Linked DNA regions of Drosophila melanogaster. The gene in region 4 interacts genetically with the main gene of each other region. Each region holds a gene or a part of one and is shown on either strand. Other genes may lie near its edges. The genes, in order: Atg7, Dp, neur and Lrrk.

Evidence for each region.
Region 1: of Lrrk (region 4) and Atg7, changing one enhances a phenotype caused by changing the other (phenotypic enhancement), as found in Drosophila melanogaster (one study listed by BioGRID).
Region 2: of Lrrk (region 4) and Dp, changing one suppresses a phenotype caused by changing the other (phenotypic suppression), as found in Drosophila melanogaster (one study listed by BioGRID).
Region 3: of Lrrk (region 4) and neur, changing one suppresses a phenotype caused by changing the other (phenotypic suppression), as found in Drosophila melanogaster (one study listed by BioGRID).

Annotation. Positions count from the first base shown.
Region 1 is NT_033778.4:18,619,949-18,626,584, reverse strand, and holds Atg7 (Autophagy-related 7), read left to right. Parts: upstream 1-1,540; 5' UTR 1,541-1,625; coding exon 1,626-1,822; intron 1,823-1,878; coding exon 1,879-2,400; intron 2,401-2,457; coding exon 2,458-2,670; intron 2,671-2,801; coding exon 2,802-2,946; intron 2,947-3,007; coding exon 3,008-3,355; intron 3,356-3,415; coding exon 3,416-3,580; intron 3,581-3,598; exon of another isoform or gene 3,599-3,654; coding exon of another isoform or gene 3,655-3,940; intron 3,941-3,996; coding exon of another isoform or gene 3,997-4,584; intron 4,585-4,701; coding exon of another isoform or gene 4,702-4,793; exon of another isoform or gene 4,794-5,044; intron 5,045-5,252; coding exon 5,253-5,546; intron 5,547-5,629; coding exon 5,630-5,746; intron 5,747-5,810; coding exon 5,811-5,864; 3' UTR 5,865-6,119; downstream 6,120-6,636. Other genes in the region: Sec6 (secretory 6), read right to left, coding at 1-205, 271-1,242; CG5335 (uncharacterized protein), read right to left, coding at 3,655-3,940, 3,997-4,584, 4,702-4,793.
Region 2 is NT_033778.4:13,220,834-13,228,258, forward strand, and holds Dp (DP transcription factor), read left to right. Parts: upstream 1-1,599; 5' UTR 1,600-2,212; coding exon 2,213-2,279; intron 2,280-2,757; exon of another isoform or gene 2,758-2,827; intron 2,828-3,341; exon of another isoform or gene 3,342-3,629; intron 3,630-4,488; exon of another isoform or gene 4,489-4,578; coding exon of another isoform or gene 4,579-4,633; coding exon 4,634-4,791; intron 4,792-4,857; coding exon 4,858-4,918; intron 4,919-4,975; coding exon 4,976-5,105; intron 5,106-5,168; coding exon 5,169-5,502; intron 5,503-5,570; coding exon 5,571-5,806; intron 5,807-5,866; coding exon 5,867-5,949; intron 5,950-6,012; coding exon 6,013-6,096; intron 6,097-6,152; coding exon 6,153-6,337; 3' UTR 6,338-6,912; downstream 6,913-7,425. Other genes in the region: CG17059 (uncharacterized protein), read left to right, coding at 1-70; Fsn (F-box synaptic protein), read right to left, coding at 449-543, 607-971, 1,029-1,336. UniProt on the Drosophila melanogaster protein: Component of the DREAM complex, a multiprotein complex that can both act as a transcription activator or repressor depending on the context. In follicle cells, the complex plays a central role in the site-specific DNA replication at the chorion loci.
Region 3 is NT_033777.3:9,030,722-9,035,630, forward strand, and holds the start of neur (neuralized), read right to left. Parts: upstream 3,011-4,909; 5' UTR 2,729-3,010; coding exon 2,458-2,728; intron 1-2,457. UniProt on the Drosophila melanogaster protein: Involved in neurogenesis. Interacts with other neurogenic proteins in the specification of the neuroblast versus epidermoblast cell fate.
Region 4 is NT_033777.3:20,633,527-20,638,518, reverse strand, and holds the start of Lrrk (Leucine-rich repeat kinase), read right to left. Parts: upstream 3,040-4,992; 5' UTR 2,882-3,039; coding exon 2,863-2,881; intron 2,704-2,862; coding exon 2,431-2,703; intron 2,421-2,430; exon of another isoform or gene 2,332-2,420; coding exon of another isoform or gene 2,244-2,331; intron 2,179-2,243; coding exon 2,019-2,178; intron 1,957-2,018; coding exon 697-1,956; intron 641-696; coding exon 1-640.

The DNA.
Region 1 (6,636 bases), on a different chromosome or scaffold from region 4:
GGAAGTTTCTCTGCATATTTTGCAGATATTCATCTTCCAGCGCTTTGAGATGTTCCGGACGCAGCAGAGTACCTATCTGTCGGTGTACATCCACATTAAGATCCGGATGGGACATCAGCTCGACGCCAGGATAGGTGTGTGTAACCCAAGCCATCATTGATACATATTCATTGCCCTCCAAGCCCGAGCGCACAATGTTGTCAAGCTGGAATTAGTAAATATTAGTGGTATAAAAACATTAATCAATTTAAATGATTGACGATTACTCACATAGCTAGAAAGTCCTTCGTGATAGAACTTGACATATTCGCCGAAAATGTCGTAGTGCGGCGGGAAGCAGGGCACACAAAGGGACTTCACAACGCGCAGATCCTCGAGAATGATTTGACGCAATATCTCCAGGTCTCGTACTAACCACATCTTGTTATCGGCCCGCTCCTCTAGCTTGGATCCCTCTATGCGCGTTATCACCGACTGTTGTAGCACGTCCATGATCATGCGGCGCCAAGCCTTTGGTCTTCCAGGCGGCAGGAATCCTGTGACCTTTTGCTGCTGCAACGCGAACTGGTCGTTTTTCTCTTCCCGCTCTATGATGCGTAGGGCGGTAACGATGATGGTGGGCTTCTTGCGCAGAGTGTTCAGCGTGCGGCTAAGAATGAGTCGCAGCTTTTTCTCCAGCTCTTGGGATACCGTGTCAACCTTCTCGAAGTGACGCTTTAGGGTGATCTTGTCGGACGCATGCTGCTTGGGCTGCTTGTGCAGTTCGTAGAGAAGATCATCCCGCGAATTCTCCAGATCCGCCAGGCACTGATGGGCATTAAGCAGCTTATCATCCTCGATCAGCGCCATCGTCTTTTGTACGCTGGCATCTACGTTGAAGATGTGCTTCAGATTCTCCATGGCGGTGGCGTACTGGGAGTGCTTTGTGTTTTCCTCCCGCACAACTTCCAAAGCGTCGTAGACTTCGGGAACGCCCCTCAGCAGGCGCTCCACCTCGTCCATTCGACGCCTTACCTCGCGCACGTCCTGCATGCAGGTCTCCAACTGCTTAAGTCCCACCCTGACCCCGTCCAGCTGTCCTTGCATTCCGGTCTTAAGGAGCGCCTCAACGGATGCCTTCTTCCGGGCGATTCGGTGGCGATATTGTTCCACCTTCTCCAGTTGACCTGGTCGCTGCAACATGTTCTGTATGTCCTTGAGCGCTGCCTGGCGAGCCTGCTCCTCCAGCTGCTGTAAATCCATCTTCAATTTATTTGGATCACTTTCAGTCTCTGTTTTGGTCAATCTTCGTCAGCAGTGGAAGTGCTGGTGTGACCATATAGCAGTGCGGCTGACAATCTCACTTCCAAGAACTACAGTGTAACTTGACAATAAGCTATATTCTACTCTTAAAATTATTATAGTTTTATTGTGTCTTAAAATTTTTATTTTATTCTTCAAGCTTAAAAAATTATGAAGTTAAAGTATATCTTTTAGTTTGCCAAAGCAACAGAGGATTCGACCTAAGTATGGAAAACTGTACTTATCGATAAGTTATCTTCTCATTGGTCTATCGCCATCGAGAGCTTTGTTTGTTTATAATTTGCAGCCAAACGTTTGAACGTAAACAACGCCCTAAGCAAAACATGAGCACGGAAAAAGAGATAATTTTGCAATTTGCTCCGTGGGAATCTTTTGTGTCGCCCACTTTCTGGCACAAGCTAGCGGAGCTTAAGCTCGACCACGATCGCCTGTCCGACTCGAAACGCTCCATTACTGGACACTACACAAATCGTAATGCAAGTGGATGCCTTTTGGAAGTAGACTACACGGCCTACAACAGGTGAGCTTGAAAACTACGAGTTTGATGAAACCAGCGCTTGACCACCCACATTCCAGAATGGCAAAGCCTCCAAAATTCAGCCATTCCGCTATAGGCACCATCTACAATAAGAACACAATCGAAGAGTTCAAGGCCCTGGACAAATTACAACTGCTGGCCGATGAGGGCAAGGAACTGCTGGCTGATATGTGCAGTGGTGGCGCCTTGAGAGATCCCAGTCTATTGACCCGGTTCTTTGTTCTCTCCTTTGCCGATTTAAAGTGTCACAGCTACTACTATTGGTTCGCCTTTCCGTGCCCGCTGACGCCCACCTTAAAGCTTCAGGGAGCCGTCCAAAAACTGCGGGACTTGCCCAATAGTAGTAGCTATATAATGGCTCTAAAGGCCTTACCCACTGAGTCACAGAACTTCTTCATTCTGTATGCTAATGTGGAGAAGAACATTTTCGAAGCCCGTAGTTTAAGTTCCCTTGACGATAAAAATGTTGAGTTCTGTTATTTTGGTTTTGCTGATCCCAGCGAGTATGAGCATCCAGCTTGGATAATGCGAAACTATGCTGCCTTTCTGCTTCAGCAATGGTAGGTAGGAATAGCAATGTTATGATATCAGTTCACACAGTTGTCGGTCTATTACAGTCCCTCTTTTGTTGGAAAACCATTGAAGTTTCTTGGCCTGCGACACAATCAACAAATGAACATCGATGACAGCCTTGTATGGAAGGTGATTCAGACTGAAGCTTGCGATCTTAGCCAAAGCGAAAATATAAAGTTCGTGGGCTGGGAGCTAAATAAAAATGGCAAAATGGGGCCAAGAATGGTGTGCATGAGGGACAGCATGGATCCAGCCAAGTAAGTTAATAGCTATAGACTTAAATGATAAGAACTATCAGTTCATTGAGGTGTGTCCTTAGTGTTAGCTACCACGACAGTTGAAAGTAACTTGTTTATTATTTATAATTTAACAATATTTCTTTCCGTAGACTCGCTGAGAACTCTGTAAACCTGAACCTGAAACTAATGAAGTGGCGCCTTGTTCCCGATCTCAATCTCGAAATCATCTCCCAAACAAAATGCCTGCTCTTTGGAGCTGGTACTTTAGGATGCGCTGTAGCTAGAAATCTGCTGGTGTGCTTTTATACGAAATGATTTAACTGATCTGATAACTAATAGTTTATTTATTTTGTAGTCCTGGGGATTTAAGCACATAACCCTTTTGGACAGCGGCAAGGTTGGGTTCTCTAATCCAGTGCGTCAGAATCTCTACACGCATGCAGATGCTGTGGCAGGCAATCGGATGAAGGCGACTACAGCTGCTCAGAGATTGAAAGAGATCAATCCGTCTGCGGAAACGGCGGGTTATGTGCTGGAGATTCCCATGCCTGGGCATACTATTGGAGAATCGCTTCTAGCCCAGACGAAGGAGCATTTGAAGGTTATCGAAAAGCTTGTGCAGGACCATGATGTCATCTTTCTGCTCACAGATTCGCGCGAAAGCCGCTGGCTGCCCACCCTGCTTGGAGCGGCAAAGGAAAAAGTGGGAACAATCATATACTCACCTTTCAGAAGAGATGTACCTAAAATGTTTCCCTTATAGATTGTCATCAACGCAGCTTTAGGCTTTGACAGTTATCTGGTAATGCGACATGGCACTACGCGTAAGGAAGCAGGCGACGATGGCCAAGAAATCGAAGGACTTAAGTGCATTAATGGCGATCAATTAGGTTGCTACTTTTGTAACGATGTTACGGCCCCTGGAAATGTAAGTCCCATTTGTTGTATAGTTTAAGATAACATTTGTATTTTCAGACTTCATTAGTTGGGTTAACATGGTTACTAAACGCATTCGTAATCATGGCGGGAATATTTTTCGAAGCCAGCGCACGTAGGATCCCCCGTCTGCAGGTGATCCACACCAGTTATCTGCACTACCAGGCCATTTATGCTGGTCACCTTGAAACCCACTAGATTCATCATGGCATTAGGTGTGCGCCAGGTGTAGCTGAAGAAGTTATAACCGTCCACTGCAGTCAAAACCTCGCGTTCCGTAAACGCAAGCGCCAGCTTGAATTGCTGGTTAAAGACGAAGGGGAAACCTCCATGACGCTCCTCGCTTCCGAATCTATAAAAAGAATTAGTTAACGCCCAAAGAGGTACGGCATTATAAAGTTAACTTACTCAAAATTTTTGTTCATGGAATTGCGCACTACTGCCTTCTCATCGAAACGCACACTGAAGTGTAGCTCTTCGCGCTTGGTATCCGAGTCCATGAACTTGATTATGAACTGTCCCTTTTTATTCTCGAAACACCGAGCTGTAAGGACAATCACATGGCCCGGACTAAACAAAATTGGCTGATCGTTACTGAACGCCTTAAAGTAGTCCGAGGCGTGAACGGCTGGCCACGGATTTGGAAACACAGTACGATGATCCACCTGTTTAATGACTTGGATCTGATCACGGATCTCCAGAGCACGAATCGTTCCCAACGGCATGCGGTAGCGGAATCTGCAGAACTCTCGGCTATTTATCGAGATGGCAAAGCTGTCCTCGCAACAAAGAATGTAGACCAAAAAGAACTCGCCACTGACGATGGGATTGGGCAGGGTGTTGGGGTCCATGACATGGGACTCCTCCTCGCCCCAGGCGCCGTTTATCCGGGAATTTCGAACGATCACATCGTTCCGAAAATAGCATGAGAAGCGTAGCCCAATATCTGCGTTCGGATCGACCGTGCTCTTGGCCGTGCAGAGGTTAATGTGGAACCTATCCGAACCAAATGATCACAATCGATTAGTCACGTACTGATAAGAAGCCCAATTTGACAAGTAATTAGTCAGAAAACGGAAAAGCGGTCTTACATTAATGCCGGACAACACTTACCTGGCTGCTCCATCGATGGTCTTGGCCACGACCTCCAGAACATGACCAAACTCCAGCGGATGCGATAGATTGCCAGCGAATTCGGTCAACATGATTCCTTCCTGCAATTACCAATTCAACTAACTATCGCCTTTGTACTGAACAATCAAGCGCAAAATGTGTTTTATAGTTCCGTGGGAGAGTCCGGAGTTCTCCGGCTCTCCCAAATGTTAAAACTTTATCTAATCAGTGATGGGCGGAGCGGCGGGTTGCTCAAGTAACCGATACAAACGCCGAAGTTTTCTATATCTTGTGTTTTTGGTTTTTAAGCGCTGCTATTTGTTTTGTTCTCGCCCGAAGGCGTCATCTTTGTTTGCTCGGAGCATGTGTTTGTGGACACAGAAAAGCTTTCAAAAGCTCTTGATCGTACTACTGCACCGGCGTCGAATGTGCTCCAAATCACACTGAAAAAAACTCTGTATAAAAAAATCTCTTATAGACTCGCTTTATAAAGTTGTACGTACAAATTTGGATACAGATACTCATTGCATTTCGTTCTATTCCATTTTCAGTCGCTCAAAGACCGAACTTTGGATCAACAGTGCACAGTGACACGACCCGGAGTATCCAACATTGCGGCCAGCTATGCGGTGGAATTGTTGGTGGCTTTGCTGCAGCATCCTCGTAAGGAGCTGGCACCCGCCTACTATGCACAGAGTGGGCGTGGCAGGTCGGAGGAGACGGAAGAAAAGGTGCCGGAGGGTCTGCTAGGAATTTTGCCTCACTCCATCCGTGGAATGCTGTGCAACTACGAGAATATTCTGCCCGCCACTCAAAAGTTTGCTCAGTGCATAGCCTGTTCAGCGGTAAGATTTGACAATCTTTTAAAATGGTTTTGATAGCGTTTTCAATATTGTTAAAATTTTTTTTTTAATATATTCGCTTACAGGCCGTCCTAAATGAATATAAAAAAGAGGGTCATGCTTTCCTGTTTAAAACTTTTGAAACAGCCAAGTTTCTGGAGGATTTGACGGGAATCTCCGAATTCAAGCGGTTAAACAGCGAGGTTTGTTTGTTTCCTGTGTTTAATCTAATGGAGATATTTAAAAATTATTCATATTTTTGCACAGATTATCGATTTTGATGATGAAGAATTTGACATGTCCGATAGCGACGAGGATTAGGTTCCACAAAATTGGTCAAGTTTTATCTTCAAAGCAAAATATCTTAAATATGAAATTCAGCTTATTGTGGCTTTAATTTTCTGCAGCATTTATAGTTCAATGTCTATACCAAAAATGTGTGTACTTCAATGCTTTTATTCTATCTAGTCGTTAAGCAAATTGTGAATCATTCAAATGAAATTGATGTGAAAATTAGGCATAAGAAAAATGTGAATTTACTATTGAAAATTGTAATAATAAAAGTGTGAATTTACTATTGAAAATTGTTATAATAAAAGTGCTTAAGTACGGGAACAAATGTATTTCCGCCAATTTACAAGTCGCAGCCTTTAAGCTTTGTTTGTTTGTACGAAACGTGTTTCTGCTGATAAGAGCACTCATTTATAGGCGAAAATATTATTCTGATCTGAGAATTCCCATTTTTGTGGTTGACAAATACCAAAATATTGTTTTCAATTCCCGATCGGTCATTGAATATGTTATTAGCTGCATTATTCAAGGCGAAAACACGCAAACAAAGATGAATGTTCGTATAAAATTGTTTTGGGAATATGCAAATGATTTACATAGTGGGCCAGGTATGCGAAAAGAATAGTTCAAAGTTGAATAAACCTGGTTAGAAAGCCACGAACTAATCGCATATGTAAATTTGCTTATTATGTCTCGGTCAAAGTAGATGACATCCTAGAAATACGCTCACAAATGTTATACTTTAAAGAGATATGTAAAGTTAAAACTATATTTTTAGTCCAGGAATATAAAATGTTTAAAT
Region 2 (7,425 bases), on a different chromosome or scaffold from region 4:
CTACAATGATTTTGATGATCTGTTCGATGAAGACAACTGGGCCAAGATGAAAACCGATGGGAAACAGTAGAGGCCACCACGCAATAAATGGATTGAAAGATTTGTATTCGCGACTCGTTCTTCTGTCTGTAATTTTACTTGCACAATCAGCGATCATTGGTGTATAAAAAATTGCTTCAACTATTGTTTAATCGCTTATTATATTCATTTGGTTCGTATAACTAAGGTAAATTGCCATGTGAGATAGTGCCGAGGTGGATATGAACTTTGGCTTAGCGTAAATCAACAAAATGCATAATTTTGTACAAAAAAACGAAACTATTAACTAAATTTATCGAACTGAGTTTCAGGTGGAATGAAGCAATCATAATTGAGATAAATACAAATGTACACAATAACCTAATGGATCCGTGGAAGTTGTTAACCAAGTTGTAGGCCCTCTGCAAAGCTATCCGTCCAACGGCGTGCCCAGATAGACCATCGAGACCTCGGTATTGCCGTAGACAGCGGATACTGTGGGATAGAGCTTTTTGTCCGGCAGGCCTGCAAGGTGAAAGTGCATAGAATCGTTCGTATCGCTGGTATCACCAAACTATTTCCCCTTACCCCGGAAGGCCACACCGAGGAACTCGTAGTTCTTCTCGAACGACAAGGTGTTGTCCTCGCAGTCGAGAATGACGCGTATCCGCTCGCCCACTTGGTACTTGGGAGCATTGTTCAGCAGCGGGTAACTGCCCTGCATGTCGCCGTTGTGCAGCAGGTGGTTCTCGACCAGATTCCAGCCCCAGCTCTGGTCGTCGGAGCCGAGCAGAGCCACATAGCCGTGACACTGTAGAGCCGCCTCCTTGGTAGATATGCCGATGACGGCCACAGTGCCCAGCGGTCCCTCCCATATCACCTCCCAGGTGTGACGACCGTGGCGGAATCCTATCTTGCCCCGGGCCGCGTCTGTGCTCTGCGCCACGGGATTGCTGCGGGAATGGAGGGACATACATATAACGCCGACTCAAGCAAACCGAATACCTTACCGATGCAGGGTGAATCCGTTCGGCTTAATGTACACATTCCTCGAACAGTCGTTGGGGCTCCAGGCGTGAAAATAGGCCCGCAGCTTCGTCTTGTACGTGGAGACGGAGGCCAGCAGGTCCGATTTGAGGGACTCCTTGGGCAGCTTGTTCAGGCAGTGCCAGCGCCAGACGTCGCTGTTCTCGTCGTTGAGGAAGTGGTACCAACTTTTGCACACCTGCGAGCAATGACTGAGGTCGTCCAGCTCCAGGTAGGAGAAGATTACCTCCAGCACATTGTAATTGCACAGCGCCGCCACCGGATCGACCATTGTGTGCGTGTGCGCTCCGCTGCTGGGCTCGTGTAGATAGCTGCTTGGATTTACCCGTTCCTGTTGATTGTCATTTTCCCACACCAACCAAATGGGTAAAAATAAAACTCGAAAACTTTAATATTCTGCGATTCAGGGTGACCGTTGGCGGGCTGCCAGCGAAATACCGCTCACCTGGACAAAGTGGCAACTTTGTTTACATCCGCGACCAGTGTGCGATAGCGACTGTCGCACACAGCTGCTTACAACACTGCGTAAATTGATGCGTAAATTGGCGCGCACTGTCTGCCATTTCATTCGCACCCGCACACAGCCTGCTTTGCCTTTCCCACATGAAAACGAAAAGCAGCCACTTGGTGGAAATTTTGTGACCATTTTGTTGCGCTTAGAAATTGCGGAAATTCGCGCTGCTGCCAGCCGTTCGATAGCTAAAAGTTCGCCGTATCTTTTGCCACTAATCTCGTGAAAATCCGTGCGCCGAAACACCGCGAAAAAGGCCACCGAAAAAGGGCCGCCGCTGTGAGTGTGTGTGAGCAGCAGAAAAGAAAAAAAAAATGCCCTGCCGCTGGAAGTGAAAAATGCGCTCGCCATTTTGACTTGGGCGACACTTATTTTTTGTACAAGTGCGCTCCCCATTGCAGTCGTCGTCGTCGTGGTCGTGGTCCGCATCCGGATTTGCACACGTGCCCCAGTCCGTGGGTGCAGTACGTCCGCCTATCCACCGCCGTCGCCCATTCCAGCTCCATTTGCCCCCCCCTAGCACACACGTTGCGGCGAAACGGCACGTAGCACTGCTCTTTCCTTTTGTTTTTGGCGGTCCACCTGGTGAGCGGTAAGCGACAACAACAAGATCACTTGATCTCCGGCGGCCGAAAAATGGCGCATTCGACGGGCGGTACGGTGAAGACCGATGAGGTGAACTTCTTCTTCCGGAACGAGCACGGTAAGTGGGCGGAAGCGGTGTCCTGTAATAGGAGTTTTGCTCACGATGGAGTGAGTGCACTCCCTCCCTCCGCTATAGTCCATCATACACACACACCCCCTCATACACAAGGCGACCCACACAGATACGCTACAAAGTTGCATGGGCAGCGTAAAACGCCATCTTTGCTTTTTCGGGTTTCTTTTGCCTACCGTATTCATCGTTTGATACGCTTTGCGGGGGGAGGCCAGCGAGACGAACCGAAAAGAGTGCTAGAAATTGGCAAAAAGTAATAATAAAAGACAGAGACCCCCGCGAAATAACAACTTATATCAGTAAGCCACCCAGACCCGCCCCCTTCTGCCATCTACGCCCATCGCCCAGTTGGCGCGCTTGCTCACACACACACATGCACGCACACTAGCACGCGCGCGTTTTCTCCTACTTATTTTTTTGTTTTTTCATTGGGCGGCGAACAGCTGATTACTTCGCCGCCACTGCGAATTCGCTTTGAGGATTTAGCATGAAGTGAAGTAGTGATAAATCGTTGATTTCAGCTACGTACAAAGGTATTATTGTGAGGGACATTGTAAATTCAACTTGAAACAAATGTATCTGAACAGCGTGACATTCTGCCATATCTTAGCGAGTGGGAGAGAGACGGGGCGCACCGCCAAGAGAGATCGGGGTGAGAGAAAAAAGGCCACAGCAAGAACAACACTGCCACACACACACACACGTAGTCAGCCACGAAGCTGAAGCCCAAAACAGGCGAGAGCAAATAGGTGTAAGCGCTGTACACGTGTGTAGTTGTCCGTCGCCGCGTTTATGCGGTATTTACCGTACCCCGCAGTACTGAACTGATTAACTTCATGAGTTTCATTCAGTCATGATAGCAAAGAAGAAGATATGGATAGCTTTATGACGTGCTTTTATTTGTATAAAATGTCTCTTTAATCCCCAATATGTAAAGAAATAGTAATTTTTAATCAGTGATATTGCTCTTTGTTGAATATGAAGCGCGCATAAACGCTTTATATAGACCAGTATATCAGCCTGTTCGTACCAGCGAGTTACCTGGTTTGTAGTTATCTGCTGGTTGACTGGTGCAGACGAACTATGGAACTGCTTCTCCAATTGTAGGGATTATGGTTTCACCTGCATTTTGGGACTCTGCCTAGGCATTGTAGGATAACTCCCGCCGAGTTTAAGACTCCCATCGTTACCATCTGGTGGGACAGTCCGGCATTTTCTCGCATGTGTCCGCTGCTCAAGCCCCCGTGAGTCTGACTCACTTGCAGGTGTGTGTGCGTGTGATGTGCCCGTGGGTGCGGGAGAGTTGGCAGGTATTTTTAGCGCTCGACCCTTTGCGGTTTTTGTTTTGGGCATCTTCATCTCCATTATGCGTTGTCCACCTGCTTTGTTGTTATGATTATGCAAATATTGGGCTGGCGACAGGTGAACAATTATTACATCGAATGAATACCATCTAAAACTGGAAATGTTTAGAAAAGCCGGTTGGATACGAAACCCAGGGGTGCCAACCGAGTAGTCTTAATGGGTTTCCGGTTAATTCTGCCTTGATATTATAGTTGCTTTGGAATGGAAGTGCTCATAGTGTTGGATATACCAAATTAGCAGTAAATAAAATTTACTAAAGAACGCAACTAAGAACAGTGATTTGAAATGTCACGCTTTTAAAAATACTAACCGGTATCATATTTGCTCTTACTTTTTCTTCTGCTTAGGCTTCTGCTTGATTTATTGTCTTTCCAGTTAAAAGTCGAATTGTGAGTTTTAATGGGAAACCTATAATCGCACTATATTTAATTCAAATTATATTCGAACTTGGATTAATCCGACTAATGACTGATCAACAATCTTGTCGAGTCACGAACTTTAGTATCGAACCATCTCTAATTGGTTAAGGGTCACGTGGTTGCCATCACTAATGTCCAGGCGATCTGGTTTCGGGTTGTTTATGCTTCTGCATTTGTATCCTTGTCACACCGATTGAAACACACGCACACTCACCACCAGCACGTGAGTGTGGGTATACCTTGTGTGTATGTGTGTATGCACCCCAATCTTAATGTGCCGCTCGCCTTTCGTTGTTGTATTCCGACTCCAGTGCGCTTAACTCGCTCCATTCCATTCTCTTCACTTCGCTGCGATGAATTCACCGTATATACGGCGAAAAAACGCATCGTTGATAGTACCACACATACATTCAGTTACTCGCTAACACTCTGACACCCATGTGTGTGTCTGTGGAGTACATGCAGTTTTGTTATCAACGACGGCATTTCAGTCGCGTGTTATGTGTATATCGGAAACTAAGGAACCTCCGCATCTTCCAATTTCCAATTCTGCAGGACAAATATCCAAAATGCTGAAGCCGGCCCAGAACAAGTCCGAAATGGAGGGAGGTAAGCCCGTGGCGGTGGTCTACGCCACCGGCTCATCCGCGCGCAACAGCGGAAGTGCTAGCGGCATCGGCAACGTGGGACGCATGGGCGCCTTTAGTCAGATGGTAAGTGTAGAACGCGGTTGCTCACGTTGCTTACACTTAGTACCTAACGATCCGATTTAAACGCAGGGCAGTCAAGGGCAGTTTATACGACTGCAGGACAACGGACTGTCCATTCCAAAAACAGAAGGTAAGCGTGTGATCCTCCTCTTACCACTTCAATTAATCATTGTATCCCTTATTGTAGCAGGTACCACCTACACCACCGTTTCGGCGCAAAAGACTTCGGGTGCTGGCAGTGGTCATTACGACTTGCCCTTGAAGGGAGATCGCTATGTGAAGTTTACACCAAATCCCATAAAAATGAAATCAAAACTGTAAGTAGTAACCAACCGAGCAGGATCGAGGAGGATACTATAGCTTTGTTCCTTCCCAAACAGCCATGCCATTCAGAGCAACTCGTTGCACTCCATGTCGGCCTCCTCATCGTCCGTTCAAAGGAAACGCAAGCCGGACAAGGCAGGCAAAGGTTTGCGCCATTTCTCGATGAAGGTATGCGAAAAGGTGGAGGAGAAGGGCAAGACCACCTACAATGAGGTGGCCGACGACCTGGTCAGCGAGGAGATGAAGAACAATGCGTACGACAACAACTGTGATCAAAAGAATATCCGACGTCGTGTCTACGATGCGCTCAACGTACTGATGGCAATCAATGTTATTTCCAAGGACAAGAAGGAGATTCGCTGGATAGGACTGCCCGCAAATTCGACAGAGGTGGGACTTGTGTTCACCAAAGGCACCAAACTCCATGCTAATGTGATTATTTTGTCCCCTTTTCATAGACATTTCTGGCCCTGGAAGAGGAAAACTGTCAGCGCCGCGAGCGAATAAAACAGAAAAACGAAATGTTGCGCGAAATGATCATGCAGCATGTGGCGTTCAAGGGATTGGTCGAGCGGAACAAGCGAAACGAGAGCCAAGGCGTGGTGCCTTCCCCGAATGCCTCGATCCAGCTACCGTTCATCATCGTGAACACGCACAAGTCCACGAAAATCAACTGCAGTGTGACCAACGACAAGTGAGCGCTCACACTCAGTCGGAGTATGGCTTGTATTCTATTTCCCATATATCGTTTCAGGTCCGAATACATATTCAAGTTCGACAAAACCTTCGAAATGCACGATGACATTGAGGTGCTCAAGCGTATGGGATTCCTATTGGGTGAGTGTGTTTAATATTGGGCATTCGGGATAAGAAATTCATTGCATATGCTATTACCTGCAGGACTGGATAAGGGCGAATGCACGCCGGAGAACATTGAACGAGTCAAGTCGTGGGTGCCTCCAAACCTTGCCAAATACGTAGAAGGTATGACCATATATTGTCTTCCAATTCACTGTTATTAAACTTTATATTTGGCCCAGCCTACGGCACCGGCAAGACTGGCGAAAATATGTACGAATCGGATGACGAGGACAATGAGTTCAACGGGTACCTGGAGTCGGCCAATGAGTCCCAGGGCTTTGCACAACACTCGGCACAACACACCACCGATGGCGAGTTCAAGCTGGAGATGGATGATGACGAGCTGGACGACGACATTGATTGAGCTGATGGTGCCGCCGTCATTGTGCCAGCCATGGCCGATGCGGACACGGATGCGGATGGAGGAGCAGATGCTGATGCGGAGGACACGTTTAGTTTTACGTTTATCAACGCTTTGTTAGGTTTGCCACGGCCCCCTGGTTAGTCAGGAGCCGCACTCCACTCCAATCCACTCCACACCCAATCCGACCCACCCACACAATTGGTTTTGTTTACTTCTCAATGAGACTCTTAAATTATATATATACAATCTCGCAGCGACGAGAAAGATTCGGTAGTTCATGTATGTAAGTGTAGTTTGCATACACAGTTTGTAATTGTATCATTGAAGATTTATGTTTAAGCTGAAACGTTTTTAAAATAATTTGTCTAGTTAAGGAGAACGCGTTTTTAGTTCAAACCACAATTCACATAAGGCAATACCGCGAAACCACATGCCCAGACTAATGTTCACTCTCTAATTAGTTGTTATCAGTCTCCCTTTTCCCCCCAATGGCCTTTTCATGTTTGGGTAGGCTTAAGCAAAAGCGATAATGTTATGGGTAATTGTCTCTTAATAATATAATATACCAAAACTGTACACAACCGCAGTGAAATGCAATTATTTTTAGAATGCCACGAGCAGTTTGAACTGCAGACAAGAGCGAACATATGAAATATGTTTAATTTGCTAACACCCTTTGACAAAGCGATTCTTTTAGATTCTCAAAACCCAAATTTTAAGTTGACAAGGGAGTGCAGATAGTTGCGAAATAATCAACCTACCTAATTAGTAATAACAATTAAAACACGATATACATTTTCAGAATTTGTATTTATATTATTGAACCCTCTTCAAGTGAATACAACAGCATGCAAATACAAATTAGTAGTCAAGTATAAGGCGTTAACAATTAAGTGTCGAGCATGTAGTTGTGTAATGAAACGAAATAATTGCATGGATGGAAAGGAAATTGCAAACAAGTGAGACGAAATCGAACCGAGTGACAAGTTAATAAAGAAGTAATTTGCATATTGTAAAATATGATAAACAGAGAATTTAATCTTTTCCTCCCTTCTGCTTGCACCCAACCCAAGCAATAAGTCCAATAA
Region 3 (4,909 bases), about 12 Mb from region 4:
CTAGCAAAGTTAGCACAAGCATCTTTGTGTATATCCCCAATAGTTAACAACTGGTATTTATAGTTAATCAGTTGCAAAACGTTTACACTTGTAGAGATAACATTTCGCAGTGTCCGTTATCAAAGCGCGAAATTAAGCAGTGCTTCATATCAGCTATATGAACTATACTATACTACAATAACTATACGCAAACTTCAGAATGACACATCGAGATGATGACCTCATGAGGGGGAGAAAAATAAGTGAAAAAATAACGAAGGGGATGCATGAAAGTGGAAAAATATAGCAACAGATGTATGTAGCGAAAATGCTCAGCATACAACTGTGCTCAACAGAAAATGGCTTACTGGGAAATCAACAATAATATGTTAATATTGAAGCAATATTAGCAAAATGTCTCTTAAACATTATGTTTACAGAAATTTGTTTTTAAGCGGCGACTTACATATTTTGAACTTAATAGAATAACATTTTAGGTCTCAGAAGTTAATGTATGTATATTTATGGTGACCAACATTGTACTTAGATATGTACTTATATGTACAAACTTCCTTGGGGGGTGCGTACCGTCATTAACAATTGACTATTTACTTTTGGCCAACAATCGAAGGTCGGGCGACAATTTGTATTTGTGTGTCCCATAATCGGGGTCTCAAAGACGAGTTGGCAGTGCTCAGTTGCAAGCACACGCACGGCCAAGCAAACCATTTCGAAAAGTAAACCGTGAGAAGCTAAGTAAAAGCCAAGAGCAGATAAACTTTTTAGCCAAAGCAAACGTGGCATGCCAACACACAATAATAATAACAACAACAAACAAGGTACGAAATGTAATAGAAAATGCAGGTACAAAAAAGCAAAAGCAGCTGACGCCGAGCAAAACAACAACAAAGCAATTTCATTGATTACCGATAGGCAACGCACGTTCAAAACAAACGGACTGGAGCCGCCGCATAAAACATAAACCATTGCGGGCTTAAGCGCTCAGCAGAAAAATAAAAACTCCAAACACACTCAAGCTTCAAAGCCACGCCTCTTCCTCTTCTCATCCCGCTAGTCCATGGCTCTTCTCTTCTTCTCCTGCCGTGGATCGTTTGCTTTTCTGTTGTTGCTACCTTTGTTTTTGCTTTTGCCGATGGCGGCAACGGCGCTTCGCGTACAATTCCCCGAAAGGCAACAGCAACAACAACAAGCAATACTGAATGAGGCAGATGCAAAAACAGTGGTGGCGGGAAAAATGGAATCTCTTAAATACAGTACAATATTTTGCATAGCCACTTTTGACAAATAAAACTATTCCAGTGCTGAAGGACTAAATTAATAACTTTTTTTTATTATTCATATTGCGTCGTTCGTTGATATTCGACTGCTAGTTGTGCGACCACAATTGTTCGTAGGAGGCCAGTAAAAATAAAAAAAAAAGGGGTAGAAGCTTAGCCTATGCGTCACTGGCTTTGCTTTGCTTTTGCTTCGCCTGCTTTGGCCAAAAAAGAGAGCATTGAAGCCGAGAATGCAATTGAGCCAAAGTCAAAAAAAAAAGGTGATTTGTTGTTTTTACTTCTTTTTTTTTGTCTTTCCTTAGCTCAGCTGCTTGCAACCAAAACAAAAACAGCGCAACAAATTCCCCAGCCCAGATAATCGTTATGATAAACATAATCGCTCCTTGGGAAAATTGCTTTTGGTGGTATTTTCTTCAACTCAAGATCCCTCCGATCTGGTCTTCTCGATCAATTTGCGGTTACTTGGGTGCGATTGAAAAATTCAGTTTTCGAGAACTGACATTTCCGGCGAAAAAGTCGGAGTGTCGATGTTAAATTCTGCCGAAAAAGCCTTGAGAGAATTTCACATTTAAGATTTTTTCGCGCTTCTTTTGTGTCTATCTAGTCGGAAAAAAACAATTACTATTATAATCGCAAACTGGGCGTGTTCTGGGTGAGCATTTATTCATTAGCTTTTTGTTTTAAACTAACTCAAACTTTTTCGGTTTTTGCTCTTATCTTTCGTTATTTGTTATTGTTCTTGAGACGTAAAATGCTAATGTATGCATAAATGATTGCGGCTGGCTGTGTTTCTCGCTTATTTATCTTGCCGCTTTAATTAACCGAATGAATGAAAGAGCGATAGGTCAGACCACATGCTAATATTATGTGGGAATATCGCTGGAGATAAAAATACGATTCCCAGATCGATGAATAATGTATTTAAGGCATTTTCGCACGCGGTAATTACATTTGCTTCAAGACTTTAATGGTCAGATATCACGAAGGAAGTTTTATATTGTTAAAATGTACTACATCTACTTTAGAACCCAATCACACTGATTTTAAAAATTATTCCTGGATATTCCGAGAATTGTACGTCCTTTGAAAAACGACTTGGAAATTAACTGAATATTCTTGTTAATATATCCATCGATATCCTTAGCCCGATTCTTAGCCTGGTACTAATGCGACTACTAACCCAATCCAAAGCGCTTCTTGATCTTCTTGAGCAAGTGCATTTTCTTCTTGCTAGAGAGCTTGTCCTTGGTGCTCATGAGCAGCTCGTTGGACTCCATGGCCAGGACCTGGGCGGCCTGCTGGGCGGGAGTGGGCATGGCGTTGTGCAGCTGCTGCATCTGTTGCAGATGCTGCAAGTGCTGCTGATTCTGGTGGTGCTGCTGCTGCGGATGGAGAGTTAGGTGCGGATGGCTGCCCTGCATATAGTTGGCTGGTATATCCGATAGACCCATGGTAGTGGATTATTTCTTATTTCGTTATTTAAATTAAAACAGACGAACTAAACGAACACGCGTAATGCTAATGAAAATGCACAAGCTGCTTGCGTATTTTATTTGGCATTAAATTAAGCGATAGAGTTCTTCTTCGAATTTGAATGTTTTCCGTTAAAACATTTTGAATTTGGTTGGTTGTTTGTCTGCGCGCAACGGGAACAAACGAAACGAAACGATACGAAACACAAAGACCGACGACGACAACTTCGAGACAACCTTTCGCTGAGTTTTTTTTCAACAAATAAACGGTGGTGCAGCCTTTTATAGCTTCGCACCAGCGCGACGTCGCTGACGCAGCTCAGCTGGAGAGTAACGGATAGTACTGGCGCGCAGAAATTCTCCCGTCAGATTTGGCTTTTTTTAGTATATGTTTTCAAGATATTTAGAAGTTTAGGTATGCCAGTAAGACATATTTGGAAATTTAAGTTTTTTATAATTACTATTAACGTTTAGTGACAATTTGGGCTGTAGATTTGAATAACATTTCCTGTTTTACAATTTAATTAAAATCAAGAAACGGTAACTAAATTACATTAAAAATGCTTCAATTTATTTAAACTTATAATTTGTAAGCAATCTATTCAAATAATTTAAAATTTATCCATTTTCTGGCTAAGGGCTGTCAGCCCTGAGCGTGGATGGAGCGAAAAAGAGAGCTCAAGAGAGAAAATTATGAGACGCCATCGCTCTCTTTCTCTCTCTGGCAGCTGTTTCTTATTTACTATGGTTTCGCTTTGTGCCTGCTATTCGCGTGTATAGAGCCTCCCTTATAATTTACCTTTATGCCTCTAACTCTGCACCTTGATCAGGGATTCCTCCACATCTTCTCCTGCTGTTGCTCTTCCTGCTTCTTGTTGTTGTTGCTCTAGGCCTGCATTTGGGATTTTGGCCATAGTGCTCTGATCTTCACTAACAGTTATTCTCCTCACCTTAGTGTGTGTGTAGTTCAGCCAGGTTCAAAGCAATTCTTTTTCTTTTTCGCAGGGTTTACAAGGTCTGGCTCATATAACTAGAAAACTATTTCAATTGCCCTAATGCTTTTGATCGTGAACTTTGTGGGCCAAATATCACACGTACATACATATGTGTGTATGTATGTACTCAGTTGGAGTATGTATGGAGTAATTCCATGGGAATTAAAAAAAATTCCCAAACGTTTCTTGATAATAATAATAAATTTCTTCTTTTCCCAATTGTTTTCGGCACATTTAATTGTCCATTTTGTATGTGCAATTTATTTTAATAGAGAATATGAAACGAGATTTGTTTTTGTTTTGATTTTTTAAGTTTGCACTATAAAGATTATAAAATGAAATGGAAAGTTTGTAACTCAATTCCCAGTTTTGAAACCATTAGCTTACACAGAATTTAAAAAAATGTACCTATGATCTGGGACACATGCTATTGTGGTCTCATTTGCTAAGCTTTAGCATTGTGGTCAGCAGGATAACTGCCGTCTGGCGTCTGATCATCCTTTATCCTTTATGGATGCCACGCTGCCATTGATGGAGGATGATAATTGCGCCGAGCGCTCCTTATCCTCATCCTCGTCCTTTTTGTCCTGCATCGACAGACGGAACCGGGCAGACCTCACAGCAGATGCAATTTTCAAGATCGGAAGGGATCAAGACGGGGCAGAAAGCATTTAAATTTTGATATTAAAGTGGAAATGCATATTCAGCATCCTGGCAGCAGGCGTGCGTCCTGGAAATACATCTGCTGCTGCTTACCCGATTTCCCCCTCCTGTTCGCTCAGTTTGCAAAAATGCAAAAAAGGTCGGAGAAGGTGATGTTGGCGAAACAGGAACCGGCAGACATCGAGACCAACGAACAACCCCAAAAATTGTCAAAGAATACAGTGATCATTGGATAGAAATATTTTTTATCGACTTTAGGTTAAGTAGAAATATTAAAAATGCAGAGTAAATATCCTTGCAATATTATTTCAAGCCCTAAACCAACCTTATTTTTAGGATACCATTTCTTTTTTTTCTTTTAAATGTATGAATACTTATGTATTATAATTGCGTATCATAGTTTTTCGCTTATCGATATCCACTGTACCCATCATGATCACCAACGAAAGGTGTCCATCTGCGGTTGCAGTTGGAAAAAGGATCCGAAAAGGGTTTGCTCTAC
Region 4 (4,992 bases):
ACTTAGATCCAACTGCTTAAGTGTTGCCGGGTAACTGGTTACATGTCCCATAGAACGCAGACTGTTGTATGACATATTCAGCCGTGTTAGGTTTACAGCCAGACAGGGCAAAGCAGCGGGGATACTGGTGAAGAGGTTATTTGCTATATTTAAGCTACTTAGCTGGGAGGAGCCCACACCAGCTGTCTTTCCATCGCCTAAATCTTGTTCATGCTGCCACTTCATGTCATTATCGGTTATGTCCAAAGTAGCCGACCATAGATTGCGATGGGTGAGACGTTGCTGAGTCACATTTCGCGGTTTGTTTGATGGCGGCTCCTCAAAAGATTGCAGATTCAATTTGTCTAGGCTCAGCAGCGAACTGCTAGTTTGCATTGGCGGCACAGGAAGATCCCGCAATAGGTTGAAGGCCACATTAAGTTCGCGCAACTTGGGTGCACGCCACAGGTCGAAGGGAAGCTGTTGCAGTTTGTTATTTGAAACATCCAATATAGATAGGGCGGGCAGGTGAAAGATGGCGGCTGGCAGCGTAGTTAACTGGTTGTCTTGTAGAAAGAGTTCATCCAGTACCGGACACCCATATGTCTGGCCTATTGGTGCAGGTAGATCGGTTATCTTGTTTTGCGCCACATTTAAATACCTTAAATGAAGGACTAATATAATTCTTGAAAAACTTATTACTTTGTCTTTACTAACCTTAGGCTAACCAAATGGAAAAGCTCCTGTGGAATTGACGTGAGAACGTTGTGCGAGAAATCTATTCGCGTGATAGCTGTCAGAGCAACCTCATTAAGTCGCGGATGCGACTGTAGCTTAGGATTCAGCAGCAACACACCGCTGACCATCCAGGGAACCCTTACAACAGACAACTGGACACTGGAGCCCATGCTGTGCCAGTCAATAATGGTTGGATTGTTGGGGAACATAGCACTGTAAGATATGTTGCTGGTGGACGGCAAAAACACGTTCACCTCCACTGGTGTGGGAAGACCCTTCTTGTTGATCTTGTAGTCTGAGTCCGGATGGACTCGTCGGGCCAAAAGACGACTCAGGATGGCCTCGTCGCCGCATGTAATAGCCATTCCAATGGCCGTGCCATTATCGTCGCGGGCTCCATGCTTAAGCAAGAGATCCAACATAGCCAGCGACCTTTGCTTGCAGGCCTCTGCAATGGGGACATTACTGAGCCCATATATTTCCTCGCAACATTTCGGGTCGTTGTGATCCTCAACTGGCTTGGCTACAATATTCGGATTTGCGCCGTGCTGTAGCAGAGACTGCACCACGTCTAGGTGGCCGCCTCGAACGGCCGCAAGCAGAGCTGTTTCTCTCGCCGCTCCACATAGCAGATTCACGTTAATGGGACACCGTTGGCACTCGGTTGACTCTTGTGAAGCTAGGTCGTCGGGTCCTTCTGACTCTCCAGATATGTGCAGTTTGGACATGATAGCCTGAATGCCAAATGAAATACGTTTCCTGGTGGGCGTAATAGGAGTGCTCACCGAGCTGGCGGAATCGCCCAACGTACGCCGGCAATGGAGCTGCCACTTTAGAAGCACACCAACCAGCTGCTTGTTTCCTAGGATGCTGGCAATATACAGACTCGTCTGACCCGTCACATCATGAGCGTTAGCGTCGAAGGGGAGCCGCCATTCCCACTGGCCCTCCTCGTCGCGATATGTCTGGTAGAGGTAGTCGGGATAACTGTAGCTGATAAGGAGTTCCAGCAGCTTGATGTGTCCATTGATGCAGGCGGCGTGCAGCGGCAGCCAGCGCTCTACAGTCGGCTGCTGGATCAGTTCTGGAAAATGGTCTAGCATCAGTCGGGCAATGCCCAAGTGACCGCTATGGACGGCGGCGTACAAGGGTGAGTACTTGGTCACGGCATGGGAGCGACCATCCGCTCCAGCATCCAGCAATCGCTGTGTAATGCTCTCGTAACCAGACTGGCAGGCTCTAAAACGAGACCGATATTAGTTTGGCTCAAAATGGACTAATTCTAAAAGACTTTTTCTCACAGGAATAGAAGGGTGTTTGCTCCTGAAGGAGCCATATTGACTATAATCTGACGCTCAGTTCCAAGAGCTGCCAGCAGCACCCGCACAGTCCGCTCATCGCCAGAGATCACTGCCGTTCGCAGCTCCCCGTGCTTGATCTGACGCACTTCCTCGCGGGCATCTGTGAAAGATAAGTTTTGCTTGGTTAACTAATACACAGCACCTTTGGAATAAACCAATTCCCACCCCGTATTGAGGATGCCTCAATGACCTCATCCACGAAGTAGTCACAGGCTTCCAGAGCTGTTTCAGTTCCAGTTTTGGGATGTTCCATGCTGAATTTCCATGACATTATGTAACCCAAATCGGTGCGAATAAGCCCCAAAAATTAATTGGCATCGGTATGATGACCGAACGCGCCGCTAGCAAAAACTGAACTGCGGAAAATCGATGGCCACGTTTTTGTGGTCATTGATCCAGGCCGTTTTATGTCGCACTGCGCAAGTCGGAGCCCAAGAAGCGCGGCAACTGTTGCACTTGTTCAAGAATGTGGCATTGGGTGAGTGCGTGGCATTTGTTTTGATTTGTCTCTTCGTGGGTGTCGGATGGTCCAGTGGTTGCACCAGTTGCTTCTGTGGGGGGTGGCTGTTTGAAAAAAGTTTTTGCGCGCCCACTTCCATTGCACCAATGTCACCCTGTGCCCTTGCTGGTGTTGTTGAAAAACCAATAACAACTGGTTGAAGTTTTAATTGCACCACTTAGGTAATTTGCATAGTCAAGCGTATAATGCTCATTTGCACTCTGACTAAATTTGCGCAAAACTAGCATATTGTGCATAATTTCACTAAAAGTTGTGTTATCTCACCTTCGTCGGAGTCGCTCATTGTTTTGGTTTGTGTACTTCACGAGATATCCAAGTCATGCATGGTATGTGTTAAATGGGTAGTTGTTATGGTCCGATTAACCAGTAGCACCTTTTACTGACCCTTACTTAATTATTTTGCACATTTTGCGAAATTTTCACTTTGTTTACCTTTTTGTCAACAAACAGTGTAACCTCTTACTGTTTTAGAATATATCTCCTCATTTTGGCACGATATGCTGTTAAGCGCTCTGTGTGACCGAAATATCGCAAGTGAATGCTGTTAATCAGTGTCGCACGCAGGGGGCTTCGTACTTTTCTCCAAAGATTAAAGCCAGCTTAATAACTAAATCATAATCTACCCAAAATCATTGATTTTTATGTCCATTGGCTTAAATTTATAAATTAAAATTAATTTAACAAGGCCGAACAAGTATTTGGAAGACGCATTTATTATTTTTATTCATACACATCTAAAAATTTGTTCCCAAGTGAAATATTTGAAATCCCAACTGATGCTGAAATATCTCATTTCTGATAGCATACATATATAAATACCAAAACGCGATAAGGTGGTCATCGTTTCTGTTACTTTGCACTGCTTGTCAACTCAACAACAGTAATATCGATATTATTTAAATCAGTTAAGCAGTGAATCACTATCGACTGTTACTTTTTGTTGAATTTTATTTTGTATGCTATGATTTTATCTAAAAGAATTTGATTCTTAGGAACTGTTAATTATTTTTATTTATTTTTTTTTTAACATGCAATTTCCTGTTATGACTGTTTACGAACAAGAATTTATTAGCACCGTGTATTTGTGTATATTTTATAAATACTGATGCCAACTGTAACCTATATCGATATAACAATCGAATGAAACACTATCGATATTAACCAGCGCCAGCCTAGAACGCCCTGTGTTCAACAGGAGTCACCCTGTGTTCGTTAACAGACGCTTAACAGCACGATCTCAACAATACAAATAAAAACAATTTAATATTCCTTAATCGAACACAAATTTGAGCCGATTGCACGGTGCGTTTGAAAAATAACAATACCGCGGAATGGCCGACAGAGGCCAACTGAAGGTGCCGGTGCAGAGAATCAAGTAAGGAGCAGCGTAAACTGCGCAGCTCACACCCAAAAAAAAATCGCTATAAAGGCGAGGGCTGGCCAAAATGGAAGCAAAAAACAAAAACAAACGAGCTGCGCCACAATGCAAGTGAAACTTCGATGAAAACTTGCCAATCCGTGTGCTTTTCAAGACTTTTCTGACTGTCTGCAATTTCCATTTTTGTGGCATCGCGACTTAGAGATGAGACATCGGTGCCGCGTAACTTTTTTATACCCTTTCCGCGGTATCAACTCCACCCGTTCGGTCACGGAATTTGAACATTTGGCTCTGAAATATGCCTTAATGGCTTAGATTTTCATTATGGAAACTTTTCTTTCAACGGCCATATCGAATTCGTTATAAATCCTGCTTACTTCAGTCATTCAACTGCCTAAAATTGCAAAAAAAAACACGTAAGGGCATTCATAGGTCGCCTTGGCTGACCCTGAATTCTTGTTTTTGTTTTCAAGTTGACCCCTCCCACCCCCAGCCAACAACTTATGACTGTGTGATTCATACTAAATAAAAGTCAGCGTTTTTGTTTTAATTAACAAGAACCGACGATTTTAGAGGCTGCTTTTCTATTTTATCCCATGTGGTAAAGGGCGGTTAGAACCAACTCAGTTTTACAGTGCATCAATGGATGTTATCCAGATCTCTGATCATCTCGAGGGCAAAGCCAAGGGAAGGGGTCGCCTTCTTATCAACGGGTGGGCGGTTGATTTTTAGTAATTTCCGTAATTCGACACCAAAACAATTATCGGTACATATATCGCCATATGTTTTCTTTCAAGTAACCCGGCGCCACCTTCTTATTTATTCGCAGAGAGATTGGCGTGCTGATTTAAATGGAAAACTTTGAAAACAACAATCTGTTGATAAGGTAACCAGCGAAATGCGGGACAACTAGCCTCCGTAGCCTGAAAGAGGCCATTGAAAAGTCTAATTAGGAGGAGCTGGTGATCCTCAAGATCCGAGGCACCAGATCCAAAATCCGAACTTGAAGATCAAAT